2 linked regions of the Arabidopsis thaliana genome follow. The protein of the gene in region 1 interacts with the protein of each later gene in a pairwise test. Each region holds a gene or a part of one and is shown on either strand. Other genes may lie near its edges.

Evidence for each region.
Region 2: the proteins of AT5G10400 (region 1) and NAP1;2 interact in a protein complementation assay, tested with the Arabidopsis thaliana proteins (one study listed by BioGRID).

Annotation. Positions count from the first base shown.
Region 1 is NC_003076.8:3,269,484-3,272,956, forward strand, and holds AT5G10400 (Histone superfamily protein), read right to left. Parts: upstream 1,475-3,473; 5' UTR 1,406-1,474; coding exon 995-1,405; 3' UTR 689-994; downstream 1-688. Other genes in the region: AT5G10410 (ENTH/ANTH/VHS superfamily protein), read left to right, coding at 2,469-2,881, 2,996-3,473. UniProt on the Arabidopsis thaliana protein: Core component of nucleosome. Nucleosomes wrap and compact DNA into chromatin, limiting DNA accessibility to the cellular machineries which require DNA as a template.
Region 2 is NC_003071.7:8,436,538-8,442,192, forward strand, and holds NAP1;2 (nucleosome assembly protein 1;2), read left to right. Parts: upstream 1-1,918; 5' UTR 1,919-2,063; coding exon 2,064-2,109; intron 2,110-2,213; coding exon 2,214-2,257; intron 2,258-2,485; coding exon 2,486-2,581; intron 2,582-2,710; coding exon 2,711-2,803; intron 2,804-3,025; coding exon 3,026-3,113; intron 3,114-3,217; coding exon 3,218-3,279; intron 3,280-3,361; coding exon 3,362-3,546; intron 3,547-3,629; coding exon 3,630-3,807; intron 3,808-3,894; coding exon 3,895-3,938; intron 3,939-4,021; coding exon 4,022-4,238; intron 4,239-4,334; coding exon 4,335-4,352; intron 4,353-4,434; coding exon 4,435-4,503; 3' UTR 4,504-4,964; downstream 4,965-5,655. Other genes in the region: RECA2 (recA DNA recombination family protein), read left to right, coding at 5,195-5,251, 5,435-5,492. UniProt on the Arabidopsis thaliana protein: May modulate chromatin structure by regulation of nucleosome assembly/disassembly. May function in nucleotide excision repair (NER). Involved in somatic homologous recombination.

The sequences.
Region 1 (3,473 bases):
CAAACAAAGACTAATCGACCGATCGAATTTTCTTCTTGTGGAGGATGCGAATGAGAAATTTTGTAGTGAAGATCAACGCAGAAGAGGGACTGCTTTTATGGGGAGAGAAATTTGGCGGTGAGGTGAAAAAAACATGGGAGGGAGTTTTGTTTTTGGAGGGAAAGTTGTATTCTTGTCCGTTGGATTAAATATTTCAATCAACGGCTGAGATCATCAGGTATAAATCCGTGTGAGACCTTATCAACGAATTAAAATAGACTAAAATTCCGGCCATCCGTGTCATTTACTATCAACCAATTTAAATCATCCTTTTCAGTCCACGTAGGCTTTTGCGCTACTTCCAAATCTTTTAATTTTAGGCGCCAAATCGAAAATTTTGGCTATGAAGGGTCTCAAAAAAATTCAATCGTAGAAAATAAGGATGAAATTATTTCAAAATTTACATAACAAATTTAGCCTGAAGTTACAAATTTCGAGAAATTACATTACTCTTATTCAGCAAATCTACGCATTAAGTAAAATAATTTGGAGGATTTCTTACTGTGATGGTATAACCAGGAATAGAACAATCTGCGAATTCTCACTTTGATTTTGTAAAGAACCGATACTTTTCTTACGTTTAGTGAATGATTTAGTTCTAAATAAGAATTTGTAGAATGTTTTGTTCATGGAGAAGAAGACTGAGAATCCCTAAGCAGCTACTATTGCAAATCAATTTGGACAATTTCATCGAGCAAAAAATTAACTCTTCCGTTGATAAACGATTCTTAAGCGTGGCAGAAATATGGAGATCGACAGAACGAATCAAAAGATTAGACAACAGTAGATTAAAATTTCCTTTAGGCATTTCATCGAACATCTGGAAGACACATCTAAGTAAAAAACTAATAACACTCGAAAACGAAAAGAGACAGCTTTACATATCCATTGAAACCAAACAAGCTAATCCATAACTAAACGACTAGTCTTCTTAATCTTCATCATCTTCGTTCACTTAAGCCCTCTCTCCTCTGATTCTCCTCGCAAGCTGGATATCCTTAGGCATAATCGTAACCCTCTTAGCATGAATCGCACAGAGATTAGTATCTTCAAAGAGCCCAACAAGATAAGCCTCAGCTGCTTCCTGAAGAGCTGCGACGGCACTGCTCTGGAACCTCAGATCCGTCTTGAAATCTTGAGCAATCTCACGAACCAATCTCTGGAACGGAAGCTTACGGATCAAAAGCTCAGTACTCTTCTGATACTTCCTGATTTCTCTCAACGCCACCGTTCCTGGACGGAATCTGTGTGGCTTCTTCACTCCTCCGGTGGCTGGAGCTGATTTCCTCGCAGCTTTGGTCGCGAGTTGCTTCCTTGGTGCCTTTCCTCCGGTGGATTTACGAGCTGTTTGCTTGGTACGAGCCATTTTAGGAGTTCGCAAGATTGTAAATTTGCTCTTTTGGATTTGATTCGGTGAGAATGCGATCGATGGGAAAGTGAGTGATGTTGTGAGGCTTTTTTATACTCAAAGGTAGAGAGGAAGTGATTGTGTTTTGTCCGTTAGATCTGTTTGGCTTATCAACGGTTAGAAATGTTTGTATCTTTACGATCCGCGTCCTGTGTTAATAACCAATAAGAATTACTTTCTCAGCATCCACGTCATATGTTACCAAAATTGTCAATGCCGAAATTCACATATACAATTTGATTTATGTGTTTATGCGGAAGAAGCCATGAATCAATTATTCTTACGGATCTAAAGCTTGACTTGACCAAATTTGTTCTCAACACATTTTTATGAATATATCATTCATGTTGACGTTAAAAAATCGTAAATTGGTGTTCAAATTTTCGAGATCTTTATTTTGTTAATGGAATTTGCTGGTGGCTGCAGTGTGGTTGTTATTACTATTACTTATATAGTTAATTTGTATTGACTTTTCTAATCTTTAATTAGATACTAGATAAATGACAATACTGGTAAACCTATTCGTTAAATATAACATTGGTAAACTTATTCATTTACAATACAAATAAAAAAAACATTGGTGTAAAGTCAATAGTCAATACAAATAAACTATATATGTAATAGAAATAACAAAGTAGTTGCCAGACTTATTCTATAACATTCCTATCAACATTTTATTTAACAAATAACAACATTTTATTGGTCTTATGAGGTTGAATATGAACTCGTCATGTTTAATATAAGTTTTATAAAATGAATGAACGACGACTTTAGAATGAAAAGATATATTACCAAATTAATAGTTGAGAAAAGTAAAATTAATCAAATTTGGATGTCGACCAAAAAAATAATGTTAATTTTGAATGATTGCAAAAGGAAACTCACGTATATAAAAAAGATTTAAAAGGAAACTATAAGAAAATGGAAAGCGAATCAAACATTGGACGCTTATAAAAATCAAATTCCAACCTCACAAAGCAAAACAGCTTCAATTTTTTTTTCATCTAGTTCCATCGAGATAATGCCAGGACTCAAAACTCACATAATCGGAAAATTCAAAGACAAAGCTTCGATAGGCAAAGCAAGATTGGTTCATAGTTTCGGGTCCACCGCCGTCAAATACATTCACTTAGCCCTCTTGAAGTCAACAACTCGTACTCCTAACAAACCACCAAACAGTGACTATGTCTCCGCTGTTATCTCTTACTCCAACAGCCGTTACGCTCCGGCGGCTTTCTCAGCGGCTCTGTGGAGGTTACGTGTCACGAAGAACGCTATTGTGGCCACCAAGTCTCTCATCGTCATCCACAAGCTTATCAAATCATCAAGAGACAAGTTTGAAGGACTAGGTCATGGTCGAAACAATCTAAAGTTGAACGAGTTTTCAGACAAATCTTCTAATCTCACGCTAGAATTGTCTCAGTGGATTAGATGGTAATTTACTTCTTCTTTTAAAAAGATTTTTTAGTTCTCTTTTTTGATTGTGATATTTATCTAATAATTTGGACATGTTCATACCGACATTTTTAAAAAAAAAATGTAACTTAGGTATGGACAATACTTGGATCGTCTCTCGTGGGTTCCGAAGGTATTAGGATCTTTTCCAAATTTGTTGGTGAATCCAAAAGATAAAGTTGAAGAGAAAGATCGTGTTTCGTCTTACCAAACCGGGTATATTATAAGACAAACGGATTCTCTTGTGAGTTTTTTTGAGCATATATGTACCAGACCTGAGATTCCGCCTATGTTCCAAAACAAGATCGTGGACGAGATTAGAGAGCTAGTGATTGAAGACTATTTCAAGATTGTGAGATTGGTTATGGTACGGCTTCAGGTGTTGTTTGAACGATTGATTAAACCGGGTGTTAAACCTATTGGTGATCTCGGTCTGAACGATTTTAGTCTGCTTTTGGTGAGACTTGTAGAATGCAAGGAGAGCTTGAGTGGATTATTTTGGCGTTGCAGACGTCTAGCGGATGATTTTTGGTGTTTGGTTGAGATGTTGAAGGCTGAAACAGAAAAGAAA
Region 2 (5,655 bases), on another chromosome or scaffold:
TGTGTCTCGCTTAGCCTGTTGCTTTTGGTCTTTTCTATTCCTTTTCTCAATTTATTAAATATCTTTATTCGGTGAAAAAAATATACAGTATATTTCTTAGAAACTTTATAATAAGAATAAGGATTTTGTTTTTATATTTTCCTAAATTCCATAAATCTCTTAAGTTTACAAATTCATATATCTTTTAACATTTAAACAAATAACCAGACTTCTAGTAATATATATAAATTTATTTAGGGAGTGTTATTGGTTTGTGATGTATTCGAAGTTTCAGTGACTTAAAATGTTATGAAGAATTTGTTGTTATTCAATAAAGATTTTTCAATTTTTTGTTAAAGTTTGGTGTTATTAGTTTAAGATTTGTAAAAAGTAATATAAAATCTTCATAAATGTAGAGTTATTGGATTCATATTTTTATAAAGTTATTAAATTTTTTGTGTAATTCATTTAAAACAAAGAATCTATGATTATTATAATGAATTAAATTATTGTGTTATTGGTTTATGACTTTCTACCCTTTTTTTTATAAAATAAAGTTGTGAAAAATATCATACCCTTTTTTTTTACAAAATAAAGTTGTGAAAAATATCATAAAAATAAAGAAATTGTTTGAGAAACTTTACAAAATTATTAAAAACTAATCAACAAGTTTATTAATGACCTTAAACCAAAATAGGTACATATAATATTAGATAGATCATGCAAATGCGTTTGGTGGTTATGTTACTTTTGTATCATTTGATTGGCATGATGTTCTACATTTTTTTACCATTTCTCTATTCTTAAGTCGAAATCTTTAGGACCAAATAAGCATTTTTCCCTAAACTAACAAAGCAGCATCTCACTAGATGTTTTCCAATCAGATTTGCTTACTATAGTGTGCTAATATGAAATTTGAGTGACTCATGACAATGCATCAATCCAGATTAAGCATTAACATGTGATCAGCTAGCATTCATGAGAATATGAGAATTGTCTTCGAGCTAAAAGAAAGTAGACTCTTTTTTCACTTGAGAAACTCATGACATACTTTTTTTTTATATACATTTGTTTTTTGATGATTAGGTTAAACTTTTGTAATAAATAAATTTTTAGTTAAATAAATAAACTTCTATCATCAAAAGACTCGTGAGTTTCTTCCTATGTTGCAATGAAATGGAAACGAAAACGCGAATACGAAACGTTTCGGAAACGAGAAACGATTTTTTCTTAAAATTAGGGATTGGAAACGATTTTTTCTTAAAATTAGGGATTGGAAACGTATACACATACATACATATATATATATATATATATATAACATTAACATAAAACTATATTAAAGAAAAAATGGTTTAAACAATACAAGTCCAAAACATCAATATTAAATAAATAAACTAAAATTCTAAAAGATAAAAATTAAAAGGTTCAAGTTCAAATAGTTAATTTAGACCAACATTTTCATTTTCATTAGTTTCATCAAAGATAATATAAAGCTCTTTTCAAATCTGGTTTATCAAAAGAAATATCTTAAAACTCAAAGTCTTCCAAAATTAGTTATATGTATTAATAATTTTAATAATTTTAATTTTAGTTATTAAATTTTCAAAGTTGAAAAAAATTTGTCGTATGTCTATTTGGGAAACATGAGTTTCTATCTTTAAAACGTAAGTTTCCATCGTGTTTCCAAACATAAATTTTTAAAAAACGCGTTTCCGTTACGTTTTTCATGTTTCCGGAGAGTTTCTGTTTTCGTAACGTTTCGGAAATGGGAAATAGACCTCGGGGCGAGTTTCCATGCAACCTAGATTTCTTCTAACCAATAGAAATGCTCTTAAAAGCCTTTTTTTAAAAAAAATCAACAGAAATGCTCTTAAATGTTAAAAACAAATATTCATGCCAAATTTTGATGTAAAAATTTGTTATTTTCGCTTTAGTTGTGTCTTATTTCGGTCTGGTCATTTTCTCAAAGCCCTTTTAGTTATTTATATATATATTCTCTGTCTCGTATTTGTCCCCAAAAATCTAGGGTTTTAAGGTTTCTTATCCTTCCTCTTCCTCCGCCAGATTCTTTTCTTGCGAAGATGAGCAACGACAAGGACAGCATGAACATGTCCGATCTCTCCACCGGTAAGATATTATAATCTTATTGTCCTATAGAATGAGGCCTGGATTCTCTTTTGTTCTCTTGATTTATTGAAAAAAGCTTCTCTTGTTTTGTGTTTTGCTTATAGCTCTTAACGAGGAGGATCGTGCCGGGCTTGTTAATGCTCTTAAGGTGAGTTTTTTCTTCACGATATGATTTGCGTATGACTATCTGGAGATTGGGCTATTCATCTTTGTAACTTTTAGGGATTGTTTTCTCTTCCTGACTAGTTTTGAGAAATTGATTTGATTCTTATGGCTTAGAGAATTTGACTTTGGTTTTGAGGATTGTCTATGCATCTTAATTTGGTTGTTTGAAAGTTTGTGACTTTTCCTGATTTGATTTACGTGTTTGCTGCAGAACAAGTTGCAGAATTTGGCTGGACAACACTCTGATGTCCTTGAAAACTTGACTCCACCAGTCAGGAAGCGTGTCGAGTTTCTAAGAGAGATTCAGGTGAGTAAATTTTCAGCTTTTAGATGATCTTGGATTTTGTATTGGTTTTGAATTAGCTGGCTGTTCAGGTCTAATGAGTTTTTGGTGGAGCAAATTTATCTGATTCCTTTTGTATTTTAACCTTTGCAGAACCAATATGATGAGATGGAAGCAAAATTCTTTGAGGAGAGAGCAGCTCTTGAAGCTAAGTATCAAAAGTTATATCAGCCTTTATATACCAAGGTTTGAATACGGTCTTTGATTCTGCGAGATTCTTATGGTCTTTAGTTTCCTATTATTAGAATATCTTTGAAACACATGATGACACCTCAATTGATAAAGGTTTAATAAGACTTCTCTCTGTTGCTACTTACGTGAATGATTAGTGCTTCATGGTTTTCACTTCTTTCTGCATCATTCGTGATTGTAACTGATATTGATGGTCTTCTGCCTTCTGCATCACAGCGATATGAGATTGTGAATGGTGTGGTCGAAGTTGAAGGTGCAGCTGAAGAAGTAAAATCCGAACAAGGAGAAGATAAATCAGCTGAAGGTGTGTTTATCGATTCTTTTACTGAAACATGTTTATTTTTAGTATCTTATGATGATGATGGTGAACTCATGATTTTTATATGATATGAAACTGTCTTTCTGCAGAGAAAGGAGTACCAGATTTCTGGCTTATTGCATTGAAGAACAATGAAATTACTGCGGAAGAGGTTCGTTATTAGAATATTCTTCTTTTTGGTTTATAAAATGGCGATTCTCTTTATCATTATGTGGTTTTTTCCACGGTTTTAGATAACTGAGCGAGATGAAGGGGCTCTCAAGTATCTCAAAGATATCAAGTGGAGTAGGGTTGAAGAACCAAAAGGGTTCAAGCTTGAGTTTTTCTTTGATCAGAATCCTTACTTCAAGAACACTGTCTTGACCAAGACATATCACATGATTGATGAAGATGAGCCTATCCTTGAGAAGGCCCTCGGGTAATGTTTTGCTCTATCAAGTATTTACTGTTTATGTTCTGAAGACAATAAGTCTTTATTGACTGTCGTTTACTGCTGTTCAGGACGGAGATTGAGTGGTATCCTGGAAAGTGTTTGACACAGAAGATTCTAAAAAAGAAGCCAAAGAAAGGATCCAAAAACACAAAGCCGATCACTAAGACTGAGGACTGTGAGAGTTTCTTCAACTTTTTCAGTCCACCTCAAGTTCCTGACGATGATGAGGATCTTGATGATGACATGGTATTTCCATCTCCATAAGCAGTTTAGTTTTTAGAGTCAGTAATTAAGATTGTGTTGGATTTTAATCTGATCATCTAATATTCACAGGCTGATGAACTCCAAGGACAAATGGAGCATGATTATGATATCGGGTGTGTACCTTTCTATTTCATATTCAGTTCTCTTCACTTAGTTCAGTTCTAGGATCTGAGTCTGTCCACTGTTTATCCTGTAGTTCAACAATCAAAGAGAAAATCATCTCGCATGCTGTGTCATGGTTCACTGGTGAAGCTGTTGAGGCAGATGACCTTGATATTGAGGACGACGATGATGAGATTGATGAAGATGATGATGAAGAGGACGAGGAAGATGATGAGGATGACGAGGAGGAGGATGATGAGGATGATGACGAGGAGGAAGAAGCAGATCAAGGAAAGAAGAGCAAAAAGAAGGTAAATTATGTGGTTTTGTTCTACTTAAAACCTTCCTACATAGGAAACTAAAACCTCTGAAACTGATTTGGTGGTTTATCTTTTGTTTTGTTGCAGTCATCAGCTGGGCACAAGGTTTAACAATCAATCAATCTCGATCTTTTTTTTTTGTTGATAATGCAATGGCTAACCTGAGGTATCCTTTTTTAATGAACAGAAGGCTGGAAGAAGTCAACTTGCGGAAGGTCAAGCAGGTGAGAGGCCACCGGAATGTAAGCAGCAGTGAAGAAGTGAAGAATCTTGGCTTAGTTATGATGAAGAAGAAGAGTGAAGAGTGTCTTTGAGCCGAGGTTGTGTTTCTTTAATTTGCAGAGTCATGGTCCGGTTTATTATATATCAGTTTTGGGTGATTGGTTTGCTATTTAAAAAAAAAAAATGGGTTCTTTGGTTTGGTTTGTGTCTCTTGATTTTTCCTTTTGTAATGATCTTATGAATTTGTTTCGAGTTAATGTCGTTCTCTGGTCAGATTTCGAATTCAATTCTATTTATCCTCCCTCGTTAATGAGAGAATTTGTGAGACAATCTAGTTTACTTAAGATTGATCGAATTTTATAAACCAACATTACCAAACCGTCAAATAATTAAAACCAATCAATCTTATTTATCGGTTTGCATAACCCATCAATGAGCCGGTTTAGACATCGGTTTGAGTTTCTCTGGGAAAGACAAAAGTCAAAAACATCTCTGCCGACTTGTAAAAGACCGATCAACAGAAACCCAAAAAAAATAGTTGAAACGGAGGGAAACGAAAACCTAAAACCCTAAAAAACTCTTCCTTTTTTTTTTCCAGTGAAATTTCTCTTCTTCTCCGTTTTCATACAAGTCTGACTTCTGGGTAGTTGGAATTTTCCAGTTTTTGGTTTGTTTCTGTATCTGTGGTTTAAAAAAGTGGAGAAGAAGCTTTTTAGTGCTTTTCTATGGCGAGGATTCTCCGAAACGTTTATTCACTGAGAAGCTCTCTGTTTTCGTCAGAGGTATGTTTATCGTGTTTCTCATTTGGGTATTACGAGAAATTAAAAAAACTCTGTTACTGTCGTTTTCATTGCTTATTTGGGTATTCATTCATGAGAAAGAATCCGAAATGTTGTCTCTTAATTTGAATTCATTCTTTTTTTCTGGGTAATGTTTATTGACAAGGGTTTCATGGGGTTTTGCAGTTACTTAGAAGAAGTGTGGTTGGAACATCGTTTCAGCTCCGAGGCTTTGCTGCCAAAGGTTGTCTTAAGCTTTTACCTTTTGTTTCTATGAATCGATTTTACTCAAATTGGTTTTTGATTTTGATGAATATATGTATTTCCACAGATTACTAGAGCTAAATCCGTTTGCGTTTCTGATTGCTTAGCTCACTGTGGTTGTTAAAGTTGAGGTTTTTGCCATT